7 linked regions of the Macaca fascicularis genome follow. The protein of the gene in region 4 interacts with the protein of the main gene of each other region in a pairwise test. Links are inferred from orthologs where the notes say so. Each region holds a gene or a part of one and is shown on either strand. Other genes may lie near its edges. The genes, in order: MKRN3, NAB2, KRT16, TCHP, KRT15, NME7 and DYDC1.

What was found.
Region 1: the proteins of TCHP (region 4) and MKRN3 interact in binary tests that used the Homo sapiens proteins (3 or more experiments, as listed by UniProt). The two-hybrid records come from large-scale screens. The link is inferred for Macaca fascicularis from reciprocal best matches to the Homo sapiens genes TCHP and MKRN3.
Region 2: the proteins of TCHP (region 4) and NAB2 interact in binary tests that used the Homo sapiens proteins (3 or more experiments, as listed by UniProt). The two-hybrid records come from large-scale screens. The link is inferred for Macaca fascicularis from reciprocal best matches to the Homo sapiens genes TCHP and NAB2.
Region 3: the proteins of TCHP (region 4) and KRT16 interact in binary tests that used the Homo sapiens proteins (3 or more experiments, as listed by UniProt). The link is inferred for Macaca fascicularis from reciprocal best matches to the Homo sapiens genes TCHP and KRT16.
Region 5: the proteins of TCHP (region 4) and KRT15 interact in binary tests that used the Homo sapiens proteins (3 or more experiments, as listed by UniProt). The two-hybrid records come from large-scale screens. The link is inferred for Macaca fascicularis from reciprocal best matches to the Homo sapiens genes TCHP and KRT15.
Region 6: the proteins of TCHP (region 4) and NME7 interact in binary tests that used the Homo sapiens proteins (3 or more experiments, as listed by UniProt). The two-hybrid records come from large-scale screens. The link is inferred for Macaca fascicularis from reciprocal best matches to the Homo sapiens genes TCHP and NME7.
Region 7: the proteins of TCHP (region 4) and DYDC1 interact in binary tests that used the Homo sapiens proteins (3 or more experiments, as listed by UniProt). The two-hybrid records come from large-scale screens. The link is inferred for Macaca fascicularis from reciprocal best matches to the Homo sapiens genes TCHP and DYDC1.

The regions. Positions count from the first base shown.
Region 1 is NC_088381.1:5,418,420-5,422,589, reverse strand, and holds the start of MKRN3 (E3 ubiquitin-protein ligase makorin-3), read left to right. Parts: upstream 1-1,370; 5' UTR 1,371-1,479; coding exon 1,480-2,681; coding exon of another isoform or gene 2,682-3,003; exon of another isoform or gene 3,004-3,261; coding exon of another isoform or gene 3,262-3,283; exon of another isoform or gene 3,284-4,170. UniProt on the Homo sapiens protein: E3 ubiquitin ligase catalyzing the covalent attachment of ubiquitin moieties onto substrate proteins.
Region 2 is NC_088385.1:63,891,375-63,895,251, reverse strand, and holds the end of NAB2 (NGFI-A-binding protein 2), read right to left. Parts: intron 3,526-3,877; coding exon 3,392-3,525; intron 3,059-3,391; coding exon 3,007-3,058; intron 2,913-3,006; coding exon 2,780-2,912; intron 2,569-2,779; coding exon 2,377-2,568; intron 1,369-2,376; coding exon 1,259-1,368; 3' UTR 501-1,258; downstream 1-500. UniProt on the Homo sapiens protein: Acts as a transcriptional repressor for zinc finger transcription factors EGR1 and EGR2. Isoform 2 lacks repression ability.
Region 3 is NC_088390.1:62,651,814-62,655,848, forward strand, and holds the start of KRT16 (keratin, type I cytoskeletal 16), read right to left. Parts: upstream 2,801-4,035; 5' UTR 2,722-2,800; coding exon 2,188-2,721; intron 1,760-2,187; coding exon 1,677-1,759; intron 1,516-1,676; coding exon 1,359-1,515; intron 1,245-1,358; coding exon 1,083-1,244; intron 994-1,082; coding exon 868-993; intron 567-867; coding exon 346-566; intron 252-345; coding exon 205-251; intron 45-204; coding exon 1-44. UniProt on the Homo sapiens protein: Epidermis-specific type I keratin that plays a key role in skin. Acts as a regulator of innate immunity in response to skin barrier breach: required for some inflammatory checkpoint for the skin barrier maintenance.
Region 4 is NC_088385.1:116,776,454-116,779,953, forward strand, and holds part of TCHP (trichoplein keratin filament-binding protein), read left to right. Parts: intron 1-536; coding exon 537-593; intron 594-2,302; coding exon 2,303-2,371; intron 2,372-3,500. UniProt on the Homo sapiens protein: Tumor suppressor which has the ability to inhibit cell growth and be pro-apoptotic during cell stress. Inhibits cell growth in bladder and prostate cancer cells by a down-regulation of HSPB1 by inhibiting its phosphorylation.
Region 5 is NC_088390.1:62,557,296-62,561,333, forward strand, and holds the start of KRT15 (keratin, type I cytoskeletal 15), read right to left. Parts: upstream 2,801-4,038; 5' UTR 2,738-2,800; coding exon 2,240-2,737; intron 1,088-2,239; coding exon 1,005-1,087; intron 883-1,004; coding exon 726-882; intron 182-725; coding exon 20-181; intron 1-19.
Region 6 is NC_088375.1:26,961,140-26,964,639, forward strand, and holds part of NME7 (nucleoside diphosphate kinase homolog 7), read right to left. Parts: intron 2,322-3,500; coding exon 2,214-2,321; intron 1,106-2,213; coding exon 939-1,105; intron 1-938. UniProt on the Homo sapiens protein: Possesses an intrinsic kinase activity. Displays 3'-5' exonuclease activity with a preference for single-stranded DNA. Does not seem to have nucleoside diphosphate kinase activity.
Region 7 is NC_088383.1:66,468,688-66,470,952, reverse strand, and holds part of DYDC1 (DPY30 domain-containing protein 1), read right to left. Parts: intron 1,454-2,265; coding exon 1,397-1,453; intron 874-1,396; coding exon 769-873; intron 1-768. UniProt on the Homo sapiens protein: Functions as part of axonemal radial spoke complexes that play an important part in the motility of sperm and cilia. Plays a crucial role during acrosome biogenesis.

The sequences.
Region 1 (4,170 bases), on a different chromosome or scaffold from region 4:
TTCATTTTTCCTTGATAAGTTTCACCAGAAATTATCTGGCTTCAATAAGCTGTTTAAAGGATTTTACTTAATTTATTTCCCTTATTTAATATTTGTTTTTCTTCATTGCTTTTCTTGGCCTTATTATTTGCTTCATTCTGCTTTCTTTGCTTTTACCTACCTAATTATAATTTAATTTGTTGACTTGGGTGATTATAAATATTCAGATATGTTTCCACTTTACAGATTTAGGCAACAAAATTTCCTCAAAGAAACTTACAGAAAAAAAAAAATCCAATAATATATAAAACGATATATCATGACACAGAAGGGCTTCTTATTAGAAACAAATTGGTCAGTTAAATATTTGAAACTCATAGCTGCAAATAATCACATTAAGAGAATAAAGGGAAAAACAAGATTATCTCAAAAAATATATAAAACTACATGACAGAATTCAGTATGCAGTCATGATACGTACTCTCAGCAAAGTAGGAATACAAAAAAATGATTAATCCACTACACGTATCTGCAAAAATGACAAAACGCTTATATATGGAAATTAAAGACCATTCCTTTGTGGATAGTATGCCACAACACAGCACAGATGGGGTTGAAAGAAAGCAAGAGAAACAAAGGGCTGCCATGAATTAAACCAGTAGAGAAAATAAAAGCCTGGGTCATGCAGGGGACAGTGCCTTATTCAGCCAGCATCAGGAATGATTGAAGTCTGGGGCTTCTACACAGTGGGAAAACGAGCATAGTAATCACAATAAAGAAAGACATCTGAAAGGTGCTAACTTAGCCTCGGATCAGAAGCGCTGTCTGCTAATGCCTTGCTGGTGAAAAGCGTATCCTGCGTAAGCCCTCAGAAATCCCAGAAAACAAAGACCAAAAGAAACGACGCTTTGTCAACAGAGCAAATCGAAAAAATCTTCCAGCAGTGACAGGGCATTAAAAAAAAAAAAACGCAGACATAAGATGGAGTGAATCAAAAAAGGATTTATCTAATTCATGTATGAAATGTTTCAGAATCTATTGGATTCTAATTTTTTTAAAGCAGACAGATACGAAAATACAACGAAGACGTGCATGACTGAAACCAAAAGAGATTAAAGTAAAACCTCATTCTCCTGAGGAAACGGTGTGAGGAGGGAATTAGGGGCTGCCGGAACACAGCGAAGCAGAGGCAGAAGGCAGACAAAAGGGGCTGGGTTGGTCCCTGCCTGTGTGAACAAAAAATATGTCAGATTGGAAAATTGCGGTAAAATCCAAGCGCGGCGCGTACGTTGCCCCCACAGGAAGTGTCCGCCGCGCTGCCTGTGCCCGGAAGTAGGTAGGAACACACAGTCACAGGCAGCCAAGAACCGGGGGGGAAGAAAAAGAGATGCACACTTCCCCTAGAGAAGCCTCCGAGCGCGGCCGCGACTCCGGGCCTCAAGCCCATAAAGAAAAAATACCGGAGACGTTCTGGCACCATTTCGGGGTAAAGAAGCTGCCATGGAAGAGCCTGCAGCTCCCTCAGAAGCCCAGGAGGCAGCCGGGGCCCAGGCAGGTGCTGAGGCAGCAGGGGAGGGTGTGTCTGGGCCGGACCTTCCCGTCTGTGAGCCCTCCAGGGAATCTGCTGCTCCAGATTCGGCCCTGCCACATGCGCCTGTGGGCTGGGCCCCCTTCCCTGTAGCTCCAGTCCCTGCCCACCTCCGCACAGGAGGCCTGAGGCCTGCACCAGCCTCAGGAGGAGGAGCATGGCGCAATCCGTTTCCAAGCCGAAGCAGCGGCATTTGGACAAAGCAGATCATCTGCAGGTATTATATACATGGGCAGTGCAAGGAGGGGGAGAACTGTCGCTATTCCCACGACCTTTCTGGTCGGAAGATGGCCACTGAGGGCAGCGTTTCGCCGCCTGGGGCCTCTGCAGGTGGAGGCCCTAGCACGGCTGCGCACATCGAGCCCCCGACTCAGGAAGTGGCGGAAGCCCCCCCGGCTGCATCCTCCCTTTCCTTGCCTGTGATTGGCTCGGCTGCTGAAAGGGGTTTCTTTGAAGCCGAGAGAGACAATGCAGACCGTGGAGCTGCTGGAGGAGCAGGTGTAGAAAGCTGGGCGGATGCCATTGAGTTTGTTCCAGGGCAGCCCTACCGGGGCCGCTGGGTTGCATCTGCCCCCGAGGCTCCTCCACAGAGCTCAGAGACTGAGAGGAATCAGATGGCTGTGGGCAGGGGGTTGCGGTTTTGCTATTATGCTTCCAGGGGAGTTTGCTTTCGTGGGGAGAGCTGTATGTTCCTCCATGGAGACATATGCGACATGTGTGGGCTGCAGGCCTTGCACCCCATGGATGCTGCCCAGAGGGAAGACCATATAAGGGCCTGCATTGAAGCACACGAGAAAGATATGGAACTCTCGTTTGCTGTGCAGCGTGGTATGGACAAGGTGTGTGGCATCTGCATGGAGGTTGTCTATGAGAAAGCCAACCCCAATGACCGCCGCTTTGGCATTCTTTCCAATTGCAACCATACCTTCTGTATTAGGTGTATCCGCAGGTGGAGAAGTGCCAGACAGTTTGATAACAGGATCATCAAGTCTTGCCCGCAGTGCAGGGTCACCTCCGACTTGGTCGTTCCCAGTGAGTTCTGGGTGGAGGAGGAGGAAGAGAAGCAGAAACTTATTCAGCAATACAAGGAGGCAATGAGCAACAAGGCCTGCAGGTATTTTGCGGAAGGCAGGGGTAACTGCCCATTTGGAGACACATGCTTTTACAAGCATGAATACCCTGAGGGCTGGGGAGATGAGCCTCCTGGGCCAGGTGGTGGGTCATTCGGCGCATACTGGCATCAACTTGTGGAGCCTGTGCGAATGGGAGAGGGCGACATGCTCTATAAAAGCCGTAAGAAGGAGCTTGTCGTGCTTCGACTGGCCAGTCTGTTGTTTAAGCGGTTTCTTTTACTGAGAGATGAGTTACCCTTCTCTGAGGACCAGTGGGACTTGCTTCATTATGAGCTGGAAGAATATTTCAATTTGAATCTGTAGCATTGTGCTGTGGCATGTGGTCTAGTCTGCTGAGGTTCTGTCGTCTGCTATTGCCTGTTTTCCCTGTGTTGACACTCTTATTGCTTTCAGGGGCTGTTGAGGCAGTGCTTCTGTTTTCTTGTCTATTCTGCATATCTTTCCTCCTAGGATTATGGTGATTATCTGTGTTTAAAAAAATAAGTCCTTAAAGTTACTGTTTTGGTGAAATTAATATTAATGTCAGCTTATGGCTTTTTTTGTCATCTCTGTTTTCAACAGGATTAACTCAGTTCTAGTGTAGTGTTTACTGAATTTCCACACTTATTTTGAAGACCCTCAAGAGTAAATGTGGCAGAGTGAAAGGAGAAGTTTTAATTGAACTAGTAGCTTTGTGCTATAATAGCCTTAACAAATGGACCCTCGCAGGGTCTTGCAGCTGCTCATCTGTTTACAGTTTGTTCTTTCCCTCCTTCCCCTTCAAGTGCACTTGTTAAACTGTGATGAACTTGTGATTTTGTGTTTTACTTGACCAAAACCAAGTGTATATGTTTACATGTTTTTATCCTGTTTAGCTTGACATGAAATAATTTATATTTGGAAATATATATTTAAGAATGATATATATATAATATATATGTATAAGAGCTATGTATTTGAAAATATATATAAAAGAATATACATCACAATATTTATGTTTATGTAATAAAGTAAATACAGAGCCGAAAGCTGAAGGTCAAAGCCTAACAGGATTGGCTGTTGTGTGGATGTGAGTTGTGTGAATAATCATTCTGTCCCTTGCACAGAAGCCAGTAATTAGCATCTAATGAAAAGGACTGTTCAAGTGGGTCTGGCCAAATGTAACAGATGCAGATCTTAGAGGACTTACAAAGCACTATATTGGTAATTCTTACAATGGCATTAATAGCTCACTCTATAAAAACAGAAATTGTGTTCCTACGCAGTTTTGCCACCTTCTCAATAATTCTTTGTAACAGCAAATCCTAGGCTCAGAGGCACAGTGCTTTGTATTTGATATACAAAGTCTCTAGACTTTCCCAACAAGGGGCTTTAGACAAAAGATTTCAACATAAAAGTAACAAGATTATAAAAGGGAAAATAGAACAAAAATACTAAAACCAGTGAGAATAAAATAATGGAAAGATAATAAAATATAGAAAGCACTAAAAA
Region 2 (3,877 bases), about 53 Mb from region 4:
GCGAGGTGGAGGCTTCTGATATGTGTATGAGACTATGCAAAAGTACAAGGGCCGAGTTTCTTCATGTATAGCTGTGTGAACGTGTATGTACCTAAGATATGTTAATGTATAGCTGGCATGTTAGTTGCATGACCACATAGAACATGTGTCTGCTTTTGCCTGTTTGACAACACAAATTTGGGAGTGTGAGACATTGCACAGAAGACAGCAGCAAGTGTGCTGGCCTCTCTGACATATGCTAACCCAAAAATACTCTGAATTTGGAGTCTGACTGTGCCCAAGTGGGTCCAAGTGGCTGTGACATCTACATATGGCTCCATATCTCCAATGCTGCCTGGGAGCCAGGGTGAGTGTCTGGGTCCAGGCCTGACCATGTGGCCCTCCAGTGTATGAAGGGGCCCTGCCTGCTGTATCTTCTCTGTTGCCCTATCCACTGCCAGCTTCCCTTCACTCCCCCATCCCATGTCACCGTTTCTCCCTCTCGAGGCAGGGGTCATAGATCCTAAGCCATAAAATAAATTTTATTCCAAAATAACAAAATAAATAATCTACTGTACACAATCTGAAAAGAAAGACGCTCTAACTGCTCAGATAGGTGCTGCGGTCCAGCCCCCAGCTGGAGGAGACCCTGAGTCCAACCCAGGCCTCCCAAGGGGGCCAGTGAAGGGATCCCACACCCACCGCCCCCATGTAGGGCAGGAGGGAGGAAATTGCAAAGGACTTGGGGGATAGATGGGAATGGGAGGGCAAACTGCAGCACTTGTTAAATTAAAGAAACAAACCAGAAGCACAAAAACGGGGAAGGAGAGGGAAGAAGGAGCAGGTCCAGTGTTCCCAGGCCCCCAATTCTGGGGGCAAATGTTGCCACTTTTAGCTGCTGGACCTTCCCAGGGAAGTCCCCCTTTCCCCCTTGTCCAAACTGAGTCCAACTGCTCACACCACAGGTGCAAACCTAAAGAGAATGGGAGTGTGTCGTGTGAGGGAGGGGAGAACCCCAGATGCCCTTGGAGGCAGAGTCCTTGCCCCCTCGCTCTGGGCAGGGGTGAGGGCACCACGCACCCTCCTTGTGTCCTCTCTCCAGGCCCCTGCTTGTTATTGCTTGAAGCCCCACAGTCTTATGCCCATGGAGCAGGTGGGGAGGCAGGAGAAGGGCAGAGGAAGGATCCAGGGTTGTGACTATATTCCGGGGATGGAGAGCATGGGGGTCTGTGTGAGCCAGAAGTCTGAGGTCCTGGGTCTGAAGACACCAGTCCACCCCTCACTGCCGGCTGGCCTCAGCCTCCACTTTCACGCTGCTCCTGCGACCCTCCACCAGTGCGGGATGGGGTCCTGGGGCAGGACATCTGTCCAGCAGCCCTTCCTCGAACTCTGCAGGGAAAAGGGGGCAGTTAGGAGACTGCAGGGTGACTGGCTGCAGACAGAAGTGGTTGGAACAGAAGCAGGGGCAAAGAAAGTTGTGAAGATGGGCTCCGTTTGTTGAATTACTGCTTCCTGCCCACTGCATGTGTATGGGGGGTTCCATTCCTGTGTGTGTGAGCCCCCTCCCCTCTCTGGCTGTGTGTAGCTCTGTCTCTGTGTCTCTCTCTTTCTCTGTCTCTCCCGCCTCCTCCGTTGTGCTGGAATTTCTGGTTCTGTCAGGAGCTGCGGGGGTGGTTTGGCTCTGACCTCTCCCCTCCCCCTCTTCCCAAGCTTTGCCACCCCCACTCATCCCTGGCCCCCTCCCAGGCCCCTCCCAGGTCACCCTACCATGGCCCCCCAAGTGTTTTGGTAGCCAAATCAGGGGGAGCACAGGAAGCCAGCCTCCGAGCTCCTCCCTCAAGAAGAGGCCCCCTTCCAGTCCCCGCCCCCACTTCCCACCCACGCACAGTTTAAAAATACCAAGCCAGGGTTGGTGGCTTTGTCTGCTGCGTCACTCTCAGCCCAGCGGCTGCCCGGCCCTCTGCCTGCCCACTCCCTCTTCCCCCTTCCACACACAAAGCATCACTGCTTTGGGCTCCTCTGCTTCCAAGCTGGGCATCCCCATCCCCATCCCCGCAACTCCTAGCCTGCTCCCCACTCCTGGGTTGGTGGAAGTGCCATCTGAGCTTCCCTTATTGATGCTCCTCCTTCCTGCGCTTTCATCCTCTTTTCTCTGTTCCCTGTTCCCCAGTTCCCCTTTCACAGATCTACACTAGGACCAGACTTTTCAAGGTGGGAGCAGCCCGGCAGGGTCTGCCTCACCGCACCCCAAGGCCTGGCTGGCTGGAGCCCAGCCCTCCTACGGCCCGCTCTGACGACTATATCCCTCTTCCTCCCACCTGGCCCCAGGACACCAGAATTGCTGTGTGGGGCCTGGGTGGCCGGGGTGCTTGGGGACAGCACTGCTGGCTGCCTCACCTGCGAGAGGTGGCTTCGCAGGCACACAGGGGCTGAGGCGGCCCACGCGGTCGTGTGAGACGAGGCGGGCGAGCCGCAGCCCCTCGTCCATCAGTGTCTGCTGCAGGATGTGGCGGCTCCATAGCCCATGGGCTGGCAATGCCAGAGGCAGGTCAGCAGGGGGCGGCGTCAGCCTTGGACATGACCCCACAGCTGTGGGCATGGGCACTGGTCAGGTAAGGGGCTGCAGCCAATGGAACCCCCACCCTCAACCACACAGCCAGCCCACAGGCCCTTCTGCCCCCCCTCCAGCCAAGCTTCCCAACCCTGTTCCAGGCATTGCCTCCTGGCTCACTCCTCCCCCCAACCCCTCCCCTACTCCCCCACCCTCAATGAAGAGAAAAGTATTCTGAGGCACACTCACCCTGCAAATGTCCATCCAGACTCTCCCCAGACAGGCTGGCGCTGTCCTCCTCCAGGCTGGGGCGGTATGGGGGTGCATAGGACTCAGGGCCTGGGGGAGGCTGCTGGATTTCAGGGTGACTCTGTTCTCCAACCTGTGGATGCCCAAAATGGGGAAATGAAGACCTGGCAAGGGAGGGGATTGGGGAAGGCTGCCCAATGCCCCTACATGCACCCCGGAAAACATACCTCTTGTTTCAGCTTCTTCAGTGGAGGGCCTCCCAGTTCTTCAGGGTGGAGCCTGAAAAGATGGATAAGAATAAAGTGGGTGAGGCTGATGAGGGCCACGTGACGGGCAGAGCACAGAACCCGGCCAGAGACGTGTTATTTAAAACCTTTGTCAAGAAGCTGGCCGAGAAAGAGTCTCTAGCTCAGGCCCTATTGTTGTAGGGGGTTGGGGGGACCCGACATGGATGGGAGGAGAGACCAGACCTGAGACAAGCTGACTTGACCAAAAGCAGGACATCCAGGTGGGCGGGAAGCAGGCCTAGAGCTGCCTGAGCTGAAGGTTAGGACATAATCTAACTCCATAGCAGGATTCCAGTCCAGGAAGGACCTGGGGAAGGGGTCTCACCTGGAGCCCTTCAAGGAGGACAAGTAGGTGCTCTCTCGGGCTACTTGGCGGGACAAAGAGAAGAGCTCCACTCTCCGCAATAAGAGTGTGTTGTCCCTCATGCAGAACTGGGCAGCAGCCTCATTGATGGTGAGCTGTGGAGAGAGGGCAGCCAGGAGAGTCAGAATTTGAACTCCCCTGCTGCCTCACCAGACCTCCTCACACCCCTTCACCATCAGACAAATAAGGCCCATCCATCAGATGCTTGCTTTGGTTTTGACACTACATGGGAGCTTTCTGAGGAAGACAGACAGAGATCAGCACCCACAGCTTCCTAGGAATGCCCAGGGCCTCTTCCACTCCTGTGGGGTCCTGAGTGACAAGGAGCTGAACAGCTTGGTGTGGCCTGTACCTCTGCTTCCCCCTCAGCTGAGGATGGAAGCACTGCGGCCGCTGGGGTGGGGGCCTGTCAGGGAGGGGATCAGGGCCTGGGGTCCTGGTCAAGGG
Region 3 (4,035 bases), on a different chromosome or scaffold from region 4:
GGGCCGGGTCTGACGGCTCGAAGAAGACGAGGAGGAGGTGAAGACTGTGGGAGAGAGAAGAAGAGGTGAGAAGGAGTCTGAGAGCTGAGCAGACTCCAGGGCAGGGAGAAGGGAGGGCTGGGAGCTCTGAGGAGAAGGGCCCGGCCCCCACTCCGTGGAAACAGGCAGAGGGGCTGCAGTGCCGGGGAGCCTCAGAAGCCTTACCCTCGCGGGAAGAATAGGATTGGCCAGATGCGTGCTGGGAGGAAAGGCTGTGGGAGAGAAAAGGCAGGGCAGTCAGTTGTGCTGAGAGCAACAGGGGGTCTAAAGGGTCTGGGAGGCAGAACTGGGGGGCCTGGGACTCACTGGGCGTCCTCGCCCTCCAGCAGGCGGCGGTAGGTGGCGATCTCCTGCTCCAGCCGCGTCTTCACGTCCAGCAGGATCTGGTACTCCTGGCTCTGCTGCTCCATCTCACAACGTAGCTGGGCCAGCTGCTCCTCCACGCTGCCGATCAGTCCCTGGATCTGGGACAGCTGCATGCAGTAGCGGCCTTTGGTCTCCTCCAGGCTGTTCTCCAGGGATGCTTTCTGCAAGCGAAAGAGAGAAAGAGTCAATGGAGGTGGTCACTCCTGTCCCTCCAGGTCTCTGGGCATGCTTTTTGAGAGGTGCCTGGATTTTGATCCCAGTTGGGGTACTGACGGGCCAGACAATATGGAGAAAAGCTAGCCCACTATTCTAGGGCTTAATTTCTCTGTCTATATAATGGGTCCCATGAGTCCTCTGGTCCCATCCTGAGAAAAGAAAGGTGGAACTAGATTGTGGCTTGTTGAGGGGGTGGTGGCCATTACTGGTGGCTTGGGGGCTGCTGCTGTACCGGGTCCTTCATACCATGCTGAGCTGGGACTGCAGCTCAATCTCCAGGCCCTGGAACACCCTCCGGAGCTCCGTCACCTCAGTGCGGCTGCTCTGTACCAGTTCGCTGTTGGAGGCCACTTCTTTGTTTAGCTCCTCGGTCTGAGACAGGAAAGCAGAACGAAAGGTGAGGCTCTCCCAAAGCCCCCGGCTGGGAAGTGCTGCAGGCTCACTGAGGGCCCGAGCCCCACCTTGCTCAGGAACCAGGCCTCAGCATCTCTGCGGTTTTTCTCTGCCATCTGCTCGTACTGGTCGCGCATCTCATTCAGGATGCGGCTCAGGTCCACGCCAGGTGCGGCATCCATCTCCACGTTCACATCTCCACCGCTCTGACCTCGAAGAGCAAGCATCTCCTGGGAAGGGATGGCAGGAGGCAGTCAGCTCAGCAGACTCCTCTCCTGGCCCTGGGTGCATCTGGCAACCCCACCAAACCAGCCTCCCACCCCGGAAGCCAGCAGCAACCGCACCTCCTCATGGTTCTTCCTCAGGTAGGCCAGCTCCTCCTTCAGGCCTTCGATCTGCATCTCCAGGTCAGTCCTGGCCAGGGTCAGCTCATCCAACACCCGGCGCAGGCCATTGACATCGGCCTCCACGGTCTGCCGCAGGGCCAGTTCATGCTCGTACCTGGCAGGACAGAGGTCAGGTCCTCAGCTGCAGCCCTGAGGATTCTGAGGCTCGGGGTCTGCTGGCCCTGCTGGGTGGACAGAACTCCCTGCCCCACAGTGACAGAGCCCCACTCTTTGTCCCTTGCCCTCTGCCCCCAGCCCACCATGTTGGCTGCTCACTTTGTCCTGAAGTCATCGGCTGCCAGCCTGGCATTGTCAATCTGCAAAATGGGCTGCGCATTCTCAATGGTGGCTGCAATGATCTGGAGTGGGGATGGAGGACAGGAGCCCTGGTCAGCCAAGGACCTTACTACTTGAGCATGAAAGGCAGAAAGGGGCAAAAGGAACCTCCCCAAATCTGTAAGTCTCCTGGCTGGCAGGGCTGCCTTCTCCACCAGCTCAGGGTATGTAGGGACACACTCCATCCCAATCACCCCCTTCCTGGTTCCAAGGCAGGGAAGCTGAACTTGCAGCTGAACCCTTGCAGGAAATAAGAGATTCAGGGTTCCAGCCCCAGCCCGGGCACAGAGATGCTGAAAAGGACCCTCTGCCACCACTTCCCTGGGTGATCCTGGCCACTCTCCAAAGGTGCCCAGTCTCCCTGTTTGTAAAGTGTAATTGCTAAAAAGAGGTATCCCAAGGGCCACTATAGTGCCAGCCTCTCTCTCTGCTCCATACACCAGTCACCCACCTTGTTCCTCAGGTCCTCGATGGTCTTGAAGTAGGGACTGTAGTCTTTGATCTCACTGGGCCGCTGCCTCTGGTACCAGTCGCGGATCTTCACCTCCAGGTCGGCGTTGGCCTCCTCCAGAGCACGCACCTTGTCCAGGTAGGAGGCCAGGCGGTCGTTGAGGTTCTGCATGGTCACCTTCTCACTGCCCACCAGAAGCCCATCACCACCAGCAAAGCCACCACCAAAGCCACCACCCAAGCCAGCACCCAAGCCAGCACCGAAGCCAGCACCATATCCTCCCCCGAAGCCACTACCAAAGCTGCTGCTGCTGCTGAAGCCACCGCCATAGCCGCCCCCCAGCCCGCAGGCTCCCCCAGAGGAGAAGCGGGAGGAGGAGACAGACAGGCCCCCGCCGTAGGTGCTGGGGGCGCGGCAGGACCCTCCGGCCAGGACGGAGGAGATGCGGCTGGAGCCGCCCCCGATGCCGCCCCCGATGCCGCAGGAGCCCTTCATGGAGCTGGAGGAGGTGAACTGGCGACTGCAGGTGGTCATGGTGCCGAGGAGGGAGGTGAGCGAGCGAGCAGTTGGCTGAAAGAAAGGAAGGTGCTCAGGAAGGCTGAGAGCGTGCTGTGGCTGCCTCCAATCCCAGAGACCTTTATATGCACCTGGGGAAGGCGGGGCTCTCCTAACTGCTGACTCCGGGTTCCCCTCCGGATTTCATCACTCCCGGTCCCGTCCTACTCCTCACTCTGGATTATTCAGCCCAGGATCAACTCCACTGTGTGCCGGCTCGGAGTTCCCACCCAGCTTTGGGGGTGTGGGGCTGAGAGAAAAACACACAAATGCAAGTAGGTGGTGACTCAGGCTAGGCAGCCGGGAATCAGGCTCCCGTTCCTGGAGCCCTCAGGGCCAGTGGGGCCTTGGCACAGGTGGCTTTGTGGCAACTGCGTCCCCAGGCAGTGAGTCAGCCCTTCAGAAGAACTCCCTGCCCCACAGTGACAGCCTTGGCTGAAAGATACCTCAGCGATGCCATCCCGGGCTGTCTTGGGGAGCAGTTGTGGGGATCCTACATGTCCCACTCTGGGCAGGGGCAGAGTTCGTGCCTTCACTCTGCTTGCTGTGTGGCCTGAGGCTCCCCACCTCCCATCTCTGGGCCTGTTTCCCCTCGGTGGTGACAAGGCTAGACTGGGTGACTGCAGAGTCCCTTCTGGTTCTAAAAATCCTACGACTCTCTTTCCCTTGTTGGATGTAATTCCAGTTCTGGAGGCTGCCTGGAGCCCCTGGGATCTCCAGAAGTGTGTGCACCATACAAACAGCACCGGCCATGGAGCCAGACAGGCGGCACCAAGTCCCTGCTCTGCCCTTACCAGCTGCATAGCACAGGCCGGTCCTATAACCCCTTGGTCCTCAGTTTTCTCATGTGTAAAAGGGGATGACACACCACTAGCCACAAAGAAACATGCGCGCAGGACCCCACCGGCCCTTCCCTGAGGGTCAGCCCTGCCCCTCAGCCTCCCCATCCTGCCCCTTCAGCCACCTGCTCCTCACACTCACCTCTACACACTGGCACCCTCCCACACCCCTACGCGGGACCCTGCACCCCCCACACTCCCAGCTGAAGAACACCACAGCCCCACACCTAGCTCCTCCACTCCTCTACCGCCCTCTCCTAATCACAGGCACCCCACCTGCAGGCTGATGGGAGGGAGCCCGTCCTGCCACTGTAGCCAGGTGTGACCCCTGACTCCGCCATGGGCCTCAGAGTCCCCGACCCTGTAGAAACAGGACTGGTTGGGGATCCATTCCCAGCAGTTCTCTTTCCCATGTCCACAGATCCCAGACTGGGCCTGGCAGCTCCATTCATCC
Region 4 (3,500 bases):
AGTGTGTCGCACATATAGGGCCATTCCTGGCTGCTCAGGTCTGATGAGAGGCCAGTTAACTCCAGAGCCAGCAGGAAAGGAGCTTAAGTCCTTGTGCAGGGACTGGGTTTTGGATCAGTTAGCTGTATTCTCTTTAGCCCCTTCAGTCATTACATCTGAGTGCTTTTCCTTTCTTCCAGTTCTGTGGGCCCATAGAGATCTGGGAATAATCTGTTTTACCTTCCAAAGTAGTTATGTGAAACAGTGAGCCCTGATCTGTGCTTTTCAGCCTGCTGTATTATTTTGAGACCCCCTAGATAAGACCTCTGTGTAGCATCAGATTTTGGTCCCCTTTTGTCACCATTGCAAGAGTCACTTGGTAGTGCCATGTGGTTCTTAGAGCTGTGCATGTGAAGCACAAGGGTTTGAACAGTGGGTGCAGTGACAGTATGAATGGAGGCACTCATAGCCTGAGCTGACTTCCACTGTGTGTCATCCAAAACGTGAATGGATTTGAAAACTGACATCAGGCTTTCCATTTTGTGTTTTCTCGATAGATTGCTGAACAACTTTTGTATGAACACTGGAAAAAGAACAACCCGAAACTTCGAGAGGTGAAAATCAGAGACCTCCATTGATTTGCCTAAGTAGATGAAATCATGTTTCCAGACTTTTTTTTTTTTTTTTTTAACACATATCTTGTACTGGGTTGAAACAGAGGAGGGAACCTTGAGCCACCTGAAAAGAGCGCCAGGCAGAAGATCTGGCACAGGCTGCACTGAGCGGTTCATTCAGTTGTTGAACAAATGTTGATTGAACCTCTGCTGCCTTTCTACCAGGTGGGGGCATGGAGATTAGACGTGGTTTCTGCTGTCTCCAGCACGGGAAACAGTGGATAGCTCATTACCAGGCAGGATGCAGGGTGCTGGGCCAGCCTGAGAGGATGATCATGGGCCAGCGCACTCAACTCTGGAGGGGTCGGGGAGGCTTCCCAGAGGGGTTCCTGGGGTGGAAGAGTTTGAAGGGATGTATGTGTGTAGAGGTGAGGAAAAGATGTTCTAGGTTGATGTGACTATGAGAACCAGGCCTGAGACTTGAGAGCAGAGTGAGCCCCGGGAGCTGAAAGTGTCTGGGTGAGGCTAGGATGTCAGATAGGGAGAACCCCAAGAAACGACGCCGGCGAGGCAGACGGTGCCAGACGCCATAAGAGCTTGTGTGACCTTCCTCTGAAGGTGCTGGGGGCGGCACACAGGATCCCGGCTGCATTTCAGAGAGATCCCTCTGGCAGCAGTGTGCCAGCTGGCAGGGAGGGGTGCTGCGACAGCCCAGCTGGGGGATGGTGAAGGCCTGAACTGGGCTGGCAGGGGAGAGGAGGACAAACTGCAGGAGAGGGGGTGGCCTCTTGGCTTGGTGGCCTTGTTCAGTGGAGATTTGGCTGGAGGGAGATCATCCCTCACTGTTACTAATTTATTTTCAACTTACAGTTTTTGTATACATTTGGTGCCTTCACGTTATTCGTAGTTACATTTAGAAATTGCCAGTCACTAAATAATGGAACATCTAGTGCTTTTGTGTAGTTTGCACTAATCTGTGGGGGGACTCCTTAGCCCTGTTGGCTTTGGTGGAATCATCTAGAGCCGTTAAATCAGAGAAGTTTATTCAGAACATTCAAGTTAGTTGCCTGTGTTCACAGCTCTAAGTTGGGAAAGATTATTGTAAAACTTTTTTGTAGAGACAGGGTCTCCCTATGTTGCTCAGGCTGGTCTTGAACCTGGGCTCAAGTGATCCTCCCACCTCAGCCTCCCGAGTAGCTGAGGCTACAGGTGGGCGCCTCCATATCCGGCTAATTTTATAAACAGTTTCCCAGACAAAAGATTTGGATTGAATGTTGTGATCCATTTTCTAATCCAGGAGATTCTCTGCGCTCAAATCTCTTACTAACAATCCTAAACTTGTTGCACCCACTGGCGCATCACTTGCTACAGGGAGCACATTTTCCATCTGCTCTGCAGAGCAAGCTTTGGGGAGCCAGACACAGAGTTGAGTCTTCTCCTCACCCAGCTGTCTCCCGGGGCCTGGCATGCAGGAGACCAACCCACGCTGGCCTGCGAAATTGTATTTCCATCTCAGCGTCCAGCTTAACCCCAGGGCTGGTGGGAAGGAAGTCTCTGTTACTTTGTACCAGCTCAGGAGACTGATGTAGGAGCGCCTGGTCCTTTGGTCTTCCGATTGACTTGCATTTACACTGTGCGTGTTGAAGTCGCCCCACGCCCTCTACTGCATGCCTGTGAGGAGACTCACACCCGCCCCCTTCCATCCTCAGGTGGAGCTGGACCTTCACCAGAAGCATGTGGTAAACTCTTGGGAAACGCAGAAAGAAGAAAGAAAACAGGTGTGGTATGCGGCTCAGGGAATAGCCCCGCATTCTGCTGTGCAGGACTGTTGACACCTTTGCATTCCTTTACCGTTTTCAGCGTCAGTGACTCCAGTTAAGGAGTATAGTATACTCTTTCTCAGTTTACTTGACACATGTGAAAACTGAACGTTTGCTCTTACACATACCAGAATCCTATGTGATAATTCCCAGGGCAGAATAAGGCCAGGTGACCAGGACTGGGAGGTGGCAAGTAGAGTATGCGTCTTCTTTTTTTCTTTTGGAGGCAGGGTCTTGCTCTGTCACCCAGGCTGGTGTGCAGTGGCGCAATTCACAGCTCAGTGCAGCCTCGACCAGCTGGGCTCAAGCAGTCCTCCTGACTCGGCTTCCTGAGTAGCTAGGACCACATGTGTGCACCACTGTGCCCAGCTAATTTTTTAGTTTTTGTAGAGATGGGGTCTTGTTCTGTTGCCCAGGCTGGTCTGGCCTCCTGGCCTTTTTTTTTTTTTTGAGACGGAGTCTTGCTCTCTCGCCCAGGCTGGAGTGCAGTGGCGCAATCTTGGCTCACTGCAAGCTCCGCCTCCCGGGTTCACGCCATTCTCCTGCCTCAGCCTCCCGAGTAGCTGGGACTACAGGCGCCCGCCCCTGCGCCCGGCTAATTTTTTCTATTTTTAGTAGAGACGGGGTTTCACCATGGTCTCGATCTCCTGACCTTGTGATCCGCCCACCTCGGCCTCCCAAAGTGCTGGGATTACAGGCGTGAGCCACCACGCCCGGCCATGGCCTCCTGGCCTTAAAAGATTCTCCCACCTGGGCCTCTCAAAGTGCTGGGATTAAAGGCGTGGGCCACAGGGTCCAGCTAGAACATGTGTTTTTAAGGGCTTTTTTGTCGCTCTTTTGATGAAATTTGCATCATAAACTCGCAGCCCTGGCTTCCAGTAGCCCCTTTGGGGTTGAGCTTCCACACCTCCGTGCACTGGTCGCTTTGCTGCCTGGTTCATTTTAGAAAGTGTTTTGTTGAGTGGGGAGGAAACCCAACATTATCAAGCCCCTCCCTAACTTGGTCTCTGAGGGCATTGTCATTTGGGATTCAGGCAGGATCTGCCTGGGCCCTGTGGCCTGCAGAACGGCGGCAGGAAGCTGGGTT
Region 5 (4,038 bases), on a different chromosome or scaffold from region 4:
GGCAGGAGATCAGGCCCACCTTGCTGAAGAACCAGGCCTCAGCATCCCGGCGGTTCTTCTCCGCCATGGCCTCGTACTGCTCCCTCATCTCTGCCAGCACGCGGGTCAGGTCCACGCCCGGTGCTGCGTCCATCTCCACATTGACCTGGCCGGCCAGCTGGCTGCCGAACTCCTTCATCTCCTGCAGGGTGGGAGGGGCCCATTTAGAGACGGAGAGCAGAAGAGAAACCTGAGTCTGGGGTCCCACATGCCAATCCTGGCTCTGCCCCTAACGCACCCCAACCGATGTTCCCTATTGCACATGAAGAGGTTCGGTCACATGGACCCCTCAACTCTGAGGAGCTCTCTGCTGCTCTAGGTCCTACCAAAGGGAGGACCCCGAGACTGTAGGGCCCTGATGTGAGCTCACAAAGCCAATGAGGAAGTCAGTCATTCGTACTGGCCACCTGGCCTGGCTGTGGGTCTGGGCTACCACAGGTCAGTGCCCCTTCCTCTCCATGAGGACACCTGGTTTTGGGGTTTGGGGGTGTTTCTGAACCACTAAGCCCCAGGCCAACGATGAGGAAGTACCAGCAGCCCCACTCTGCCTCCCACCGACTTAATCTCGCGAAAATCTGGGAGGGCTTCCTGGAGCCGCTGTCTTTCCCTCTGGGCAATTTAAGTGCGTTTTGGGAAGAAGTTCCCCACCTCTCTCAGGTTCAAGGGTGATGGGGGCCAGCTCTCACCTCCTCGTGGTTCTTCTTCAGGTAGGCCAGCTCCTCATTCAGGCCCTCGATCTGCATCTCCAGGTCAGTCTTGGCCAGGGTCAGCTCATCCAGGACTCGGCGCAGGCCGTTGATGTCAGCCTCGACGCTCTGGCGCAGGGCCAGCTCGTTCTCATACCTGAGGAGAGAGAGGGAGGCCAAAGAAGGAAGTGGGAGGGGTCTTGGCTGCCTGAGTCAGACCCAGGAGAAGGCCAAGTAAAGTGGGCAACGCAGGAAGAGGAGAGGGAGGGGGGAGCGCACTTGAGCCTGAAGTCGTCTGCAGCCAGCCTGGCGTTGTCGATCTCCAGGATGACCCGGGAGTTGTCGATGGTGGTGGCCGTGATCTGCAGGAGACAGAGTTGGTGCCTAGAGGACTCCTCTCTCTCCCTTGCTGCTCTCCACTCTGCACCCAAGGCCAGCCCCTCACTGACAATCACCCCTCTGACACCACCAACAAAAATCTGTAGGGCCTCTGGGGTGGGCAGAGTCCAGCCGCATCTTGAGTGTCCACTTCTGGTTTTGTCCCATACCAGCCTCCTTGAGACACCTGAGGAGTTGCCCTCCTTGTCTCCAGGGCACGAAAGACCAAGGAGGCAGTACTGCCTGTGGGAATTGGTTGCCCAGAAGAGTGGTGGAGTGGGGTGTGGTCAGCTCTGACAATAGCCCTCTCAGAGACACTCCACCAGCCCCCCTGTGGACAGCTCATGGTCACTGCCTCCTGCACATCTTGGACACAGCCATGGATCTACAGAACATTCCAGCCAGTAGCAACCTGGAGGGCAGCTAAAGAAGGCCTTTTACAAATGAAGAACCCAGTCTCAGGGAGTAAAAAGGTGAGTGAGTGGGTGACAGAATGTGTAATGAGTTCCCAGGTCTCCTAAGACCCAACAGTACTTTTGGCACAAAAGGTCTCTTTATAGGAAAAGACAAGAGGTTCTAGCATCTGGGACTCATGAGGCCACACTCCAATCCCATTCTTGCCAAAGAGGTGAAGGAATACTTTATGCAGAAGCCTGCAGGGTGCATGAGGTAGGGAAGGCGAGCTGCTCTTTTTTTTAATTATTGGTTTTTTCCATTAGATACAGGTTCTCACTCTGTCACCTAGGCCGGAGTACAGTGGCACAGTCATTAGCTCACTGCAGCCTCTAACTCCTGAACACAAGCAGTCCTATCACCTTGGCCCCCCAAAGCACTGGGATTACAGGTGTGAGCTACTGCCCCTGGCTCTTTATAATTGCCCCCACCTGTGCCCCTGTTGGTCCTAACCAGACTCCCAAGACCCCTCCCTTCCTCCCCCAGCACCACCAAGTTGAGAAGATGTGCACTAGCCTCTGCACCTGGACAGCAGGTGCATTCCAAATTTGCTGAGGTTACACACCAGACAGTCGTTGCCTGGGCAGGAAAGGATTTCCTCGAGTCAGCAGTAACACCGACATTAGAGCCACATACAGGGTACCAGCCACCTGCTCCCCTCTCTTTGACATCTGAGGACTCACCTTGTCCCGGAGCTCTTCAGTGGTCTTGAAGTATTGGCTGTAGTCGCGTTCCGGGCTGGTCGGGGCCTGCTTCTGGTACCAGTCACGGATCTTCACCTCCAGGTCAGCATTGGCCTCTTCTAGGGCACGTACCTTGTCCAGGTAGGAGGCCAGGCGGTCATTGAGGTTCTGCATGGTAATTTTCTCATTGCCAGAGAGGAGACCACCATCGCCACCACCAAAGCCACCACCAAAACCCCCACCAATGCCCCCTCCAAAGCCTCCACCAAAAACACTGCCAGCCCCTCCACCAAAGCCACAGACCCTCATGCCACCCCCGTAGCCCCCTCCTGACCCTGAAGACACAAACCTAGCAGAAGAAGCTGAGATATTTCGGCTTCCACCTCCCCCATAGAGACTACCCCCACCAAAGCCACCTCCCCCAGCCAGAAGGGAACCCCCTCGGGTAGAGCCACCCCCAAAAGTGGAGGAAGAAGTTTGCAGAAATGTGGTGGTCATCGTCAGGTAGCTGGAGCCCGTGAGTTCTCAGCAAACCCAAGAGACGCTGGCAGGAGGTACCAGGCCAGGCTGCACTCTGGAGCTCCTTATATTCCCCTCAGAGGGTGCTGTGGGACCTCGTCTCCTCCCCCAAAGCAAAGCCAACTCCTTCTGCCTTCCTGACAAACACAGCTGCCTGCACACCTTGAGTGGCTCGTGTGAAGTTTTTCTCTTCTATTTTTTTTAATGCAACAAAAGAGATGATTCAGAATTAATAGTGTTTTCCCCCGGGGCACGGTTTTAACACTTGGATTACAGGTTCATCTCTCCATGCCAGAAGAGAGCAGCAGGGAGTGAACTCTCATCACAGCACAGCTACCAAAGCCTCTAGCTGAACTGAGAGCAGCTCAAGCCACTGTGCCCTCAGCTGGACTTCTCCACTGCCCCGAGCCCTGAGCCTCTGCCCAAGGGGACAGCTCCGTGTTCTCGGTTTGGGAGTCCACTTCTTGATCATTACACTGTGTTATCCAACTCAAAACCCTGTGAGTGAGTGAGAGACTGCAGGGCTCAGGGGGAGTGGAGGCCTCTGGGGATGGGAATGCAGGACCCCCAGTTGGAGGACAGGAGCCAGGGACCTTGAGTAGTGTTCCAGCTGAGGTGACCAGAGGAGCCAGCATCCATCCCTTCCCTGGTGCTGCAGATGGACTCCCCTCCTCCCACCTCTACTCCCCTCCTGCCAGCCTCCAGCCTATGTCCCTGGCACCCTCACAAAAGCCCAGCAGGCTCGGGGCTGACAAGGGGATGACTGATGATCCCGACACCTGCCAACTGCATAGCGCTGAACCTTTGCTCGCTTCTGGGATGTGTTGGGGCAGACCTCCGCTGATAAGGCTGGGGCAAGTTCCAAGCAGCATGTTGCTGCTTAGCAGGGCCAGATTAGCCCCCATCTGTCCTGTCAAGTGCTGGCTGGGGAGGGGCCGCTGCAGAAGGCTCTATGTGCCTGAGTGCTGTGGAAGGGAAGAGATGGGAGATTGGCGGGCAGGCTGGAAGACACTGGAGATCTTGAAGACCAAGGCATCACTTCACAAAGATGGGGAGTTGAACACTCAGGAGAGCCCTTTTCTCTGCCACCGGCTCAGGGACACCTTTCCAGGGACAACTGACACCTGTGGGCAGTGCCTCTTGGAGGTGTGGCCCGGCCCTCCGGACCTGGCCCCAGGGCTTACAGAAACTCAGGAAGAGGATTCCTAGCCCAGGTTGCAGCATGGTGAAGTGGACAGGGCTCCGGAGTCCCTCAGGCCTGGGGTTTAAATCCTGGCTCT
Region 6 (3,500 bases), on a different chromosome or scaffold from region 4:
TCCCACAACATTAAAAGATTCCTGTTTATTTATCTAATACCTGAAATTTTTATCCTATTTCAAAGAAAGTGTTTGGTCTTCCTTTGTTACGAGGCATTCACCACCCCTCTGATCCATCACCCTTTGTGTACTAACACCCACACTGAGAATCCAATCACCTCAAGAACCATAAAGTGCTTATACAGAAAGACTATGGAAGTCACAGAAAGAGATACCTCATTACTATGAGAGTGACTCAGATGTTAGGCAATCAACTAGTCATTTGAGTAGCAGATCTCAAAAAATAGTGTGACTGATTTGTTTTTCCTATTGAATTAAATCATTTTTGGAACCTTTTATACATATAGCCTTAACTTCTACAAATAATCCCTATTTTAATTATAGCACCAATCACTCTACAGTTAAAAAAAAAAAAAGTCCCCAAACCATACAAAATATAAGCTACAGAAATTAGATCCAAGAGAGATGACAAAGGACTTAAATTTTCATTTCAAATATAATTAATTCTAATCTCAGAAAGTTGAAATTCATAAATGTAGAGAATTTAAAAGTTAAAAAGTCATCTTGAAAATACTGAAAATCAATATTCAGAAGGAAAACATCAGAAGTCCTTGTTTTCTATAAGTCTAATTTTCAGCTGTATCTACAAGTTGTTCTTTCTCACTTCCGTTTTTTTCTTAGCCCCTTTTACAGATGACTGTATCTCTGAGATGTGCTAAGTTGCATAGGAGACATAAATATGAATTAAGTCAGATGAGACATGTACAACTATGATATTATCAATTTTTTTAATTGAAAAAAAGAAAAAGACAGAATGAAGACAACCATTTTCCAGGTCCTATCCATCCTCATATGGTTAAATACTCCCAGTCTTGATTCAGATTGACTTTGAACCCAAAGTTACAAAATGTAAAAAGATTATATAATTGTTTTCTTACTTTTCTTTCCTACTGCCCAGCTGGCGAGCTGTATATTGATCCCCATAGTCAATTAATACCAATTGTCGAGAAAAGACATTCACTTTGTTGCCTATAAATAAATCTTCCAAGTGCAGGCTATCATATTTGGTCCGCTTTAAAAAGGTGCGATGATTCTTTACATCATGCTAGAACCAGACACAAGAATATAACAAACAAACAAACAAAATTTATGAATAAGGAAAGTTAATCTTATCATAAGGTAGAAATAATTCTTAATTCTGTCTTATCAAAGATAAGTTATATTCTGTTTCTTTTTTGTTACAAATATAAATCATAATTTTTAATTACTTCCATATTTCTGAATCCAATCTGGTAATAACATAAAAGCTTTTTATTACACATTTAATACTCTTAAAACCCTGAATAGAAAGATTTGTTTATTACCAAATCATTTCAGTAGTCCTTACAAAATGCTAAAGAAAGAGTCATACACCCAAATTTCTGCTTTTTTGTGTACACAAAATCCCAATACCAAAAAGATCCACTTGTTAAAATTGTGTTGCCAATGAAGAAACACAAAGAAATAAACAGAAGCCTCTTAGCTTGATCCTCTCAATTTGACTTTTTGTAGCAGTAACAGCTTTCAATAATGAGGACATATTTATGACCATAATAATCCTTATCTATAATCACTTATTGGTTATTTCTTATCCAAAACATGAATAATCCCATTTCAGTCTTTTTTTTTTCTTTTCTTTTTTTTTTTTTTTTTGAGATAGAGGCTCATTCTGTCCCCCAGGCTGGAGTGCGGTGGCATGATCTCAGCTCACTGCAACCTCCACTTCCTGAGTTCAAGCCATTCTCCTGCCTCAGCCTCCCGAGTAGGTGGGATGACAGGCATGTACCACCACACCCGGCTAATTTTGTGTATTTTTAGTAAAGACAGGTTTTCACCATGTTGGTCAGGCTAGTCTCGAACTCCTGACCTCAAGTAATCCGCCCACCTCAGCCTCCCAAAGTGCTGGGATTACAGGCATGAGTCACCGTGCCCGACCCCCACTTCAGTCTTCTAACAACAACAAAAAAAATTTCCTATCTTTGACATTAAAAGTAAAGGCACAAGTTAACTTCTTATATTGAAATTATAATGAATATCTTTAAAAAGAATTTCCATATATATATACACACACACACACACATATAAATGTGTTTTTAAAAAGCAATTATATAAAAGGCAATGGTTCCCATGTTCACCCCCTTTGCCGACATTCAAGCAAAGAAAGACTTATTTACCATTTCAACAGATCCATCCCCTGGGTAAAATAAAAGCTCATAACGTCGAAGAAGTGAAGCATTTGGATCATACCACTCTGCAATGAAAACGAATCTTTCACTATGACTCTGCAAAGAAAGACAGAAGAATTTTAACACTAACATATAAAGAACAAGCACTCTCCTGTAAGTCACACAAAATGAAAGCAAGAATTACCAATTTGCAAAAAACAAACTTACTCCTACCTATTGTATTGAATTTTTCTGCTTTTCAACAAAATATCAGTTATCAACATACCCTCAGAAATATTTCCTTTTAATTTCTCATATCTCAGAGATGACTTATGGATTGCTTATTACTTTATAGCCATCTAATCATCCTGAGTAAATTAACATTTTCTGAGAACATGAGCTCCTGATTTTACTGTGGTAGCAATTCAGTCCTTCTGAAAGCAAGTTTACATAGAGACTATCAATAAATTAATATAAGCATACATTTCTGAGGATAGCTCTCAATTATATGAAGTTTTGACTTCCCTAAATTTGAGAATCTAGTAGTATCAGAATATTACCATTAAAATTATAGTAAACATCTTTTTTCCTTAGTAATTACATATGATAGTATCTTTTTATAGAAATAGAGAATGTGTTAGTCTAGGACCTCTGAAAATAAATGTGAAGACAAGACTGAACATGCAAGAATTTCATTAAGGAAAATTCCTGTAATATAAAATGAGGAGGGAGCCAAGGAAGACTAGAAAAGCTGACAAAAAACAATGCAAGTTTGACACAGAGTGGTGGAGAGGTGCAAGCAAGGTTAAGTAGAATCATCCCAGATTGCTACACCCTCTAAGGAAGGTTCAGTAAGCCCATCAGGAAGTGCTAGAGCCAGGTGACTCCCAAGGACACGGAGGGGCCAGCTTTAGTATCCCTGTTCCTCTCAATCACTGGCTGGGAGCAGCCTTTGGGAAACAAGTGCTCAGCACAAAAGCAGCAGTGGATTTCAGAGAACAGCAGCTGGGACCCTTGGTCATTTAGGTTGCCTGTAGTTGGAGGTCTGTGAAGTACATTCTTAGGGCTACCACAGAGAGCAAAAAATGAAAAAAAAATAAGTCAAAGATGGGTCCTTTTCCCTTGACTATCGAGCAGGATTTCCCATTATATATGTTAGTAAAAATACCCTTGCCCCAAAGGCCCTTCATTATAATAAGCAAATAAAAGCATAGGGAAGAAGGGAATCTAGGAGTTTTATTGCTAATTCTGGATTTGCCATCTGATGCTCTGGTTAGGGTAAATTTGGGGATTCTT
Region 7 (2,265 bases), on a different chromosome or scaffold from region 4:
CTTCCGTGCTGTCTGCCTGGAGCACTACCCTCGGCCTCCCATGCCACCAGTGAGTAGCAAATCATTAGTTTCCTTCCCGACTGAGGTTCCTCAACTGTGCTGGCTGTCCCTCCTTGTTAGTGTACATGAATTAAAGTGACCAAAATGTACCCTTCTTCCAGGACAGTCCTGGCTTACATCTGCTGAGCCGGCTCTCATTCTCAAAAGCATACTGGTTTGGACAATAAATTACGTGGTCCCGCTAACCATGACTATTAAATGCTCATCTAATTGTCTGTTTCTTCCCTGACAATAAACTCCACAAGATCAAAGCCATCTGCCTTATTCACCACACCATCAGGCATAGTGCCTGGCATATGGAAGATGTGGTATGTTTGTTAAATAAACAAATGTACTTACATACTGGAGAAGCATGCACTCTCATTAAGGCATTCATTTGGTTCCAGGGTTTGTTACTGAGGACCAAAATCGTGCCCCCTACACCAAATTTAAAGATCGTGTATTTCACAAAATGATTTTAAAACATATTTTGAAGAGGTTTTGAGGTCACAGATACAGAGACATAGATAAGCCAATGACACACTTCACAAAAGGGCAGAATGCCAATTAGGAATATAATCGGCAACCAGGGAACTGATTTTCTCTGAAGCAAAAGGCCCGTTTGCCAACCAATCCTGGCCTAGCCTCATTTTCCCTAGGCTTTACCTAAGTGAAAAAATCAAAAACAAAAACAAAAAAGAGCTTTTTAAAAAACACGCTGATACTGACATCAGAAAACATTGGTTCATCAAGTTCTTCCACTCTGCTCAAGTTAGGTGCTCCATAACGATCGCTGATTTCAGCTAGTGTTTTGCCTGAGTCTAGTGTTGCTTCCTACAATCAAAAAATTTATGTTTACTTTTAAATTATTTCAAAATTAATACATTACTTTTCTTTCAATTTTGATTAAAAATTTTCTGATTTATAACATCAAAATTCAACATTATTAATTAGTGGAATTAACCAATTTCTGTTAATGACAAGAGAATTCTGGTAATGAATTGAGTATCCTAGAATATAAAGCTAGAATTCCGGCAATAAATGCTAAAACTTTTCTTTAAATACCTGCAGAAATTTAAAATAATTGTAAGTAATTATGTGGTAAATAGCTTCAATATCTCAAGAGAGCCTAGTTTTTTTAAATCCAAACACAAACTGAATGTCCAATTTTTACCTACTGTGAGATTTTTCTTCAAAGCACATTATTTGTGACTTGTTATTACCAGAAAATATATATGGACTATCAGTTTTGATAATATACTTGCTAAAAATTTAGCTACTTATGCATCAAAATTAAGCTTAAATTATAGGATACTCAATTCATTTCACATAACATAGAATGACTTTTTCTTCTCACCTCTGAATATAGAGTATCTTCACTCCTAACTAGATTTTCCATATTCATTCTCATCTCCTATAATATATAAAAATTAAGAAAATACTTTGAATATACTTCATTTTGATTTCATATTTCATTTTTGGCATTTTTATTTTTACACAATGCTATGATCAATTTAAAGCAAAAATGCTGTCACTCTGAAAGAGAATGATCTGATTACACATTACAAAACTGCAGATCACAGTCTTATTTAATACTCTATACTAATAGAAGGCAACCATGTTTTATATATAATTAAATAAAACTTTTTAAAAAGTGAAATGGACTGAAACATTTAAACTGAAGCCAAATTATCTGCCAATATAAAAACTGACAAAATAAAAATTATAATAGAACCTTAGAACAAGAGATTTTAAAGAGAAACTACACTTAAGTAGAGTTTTGCACATCATGAGAAAGAAGTAAACACTTCTACAGGAACTAATCTGGCCCAATGCAGAGGGACCTGAGCGATGCCCTCTTTAATACTCTGAGCACTGCAGTAGGAATGTACTGCCAATATGGGAGACCTCTTTCTGAATGTGAAAATATTCTTCTAGCCAGCCAAACCTTGCTATGCCATCTACCTTTTCATTCTAAAGCAGCACGGTGGCCTAACTGACCCTGAGCTGATTGATTTTGGCTGCTACACCACCAGTGATTTCTTGATCATACATATGGTTACCCTAATGATAGGAACATAAACAGCACTGTTTTCCCAAGACCACTCCATTTTCCTGGTAACTTCTTATCCAGCATCCACAAGGCTATATTGGGAACATCCATATTCTTATAGGACCATGTTCCCCCACCACAGAGATGGATATTTGACACAAACTAAGTCAGTC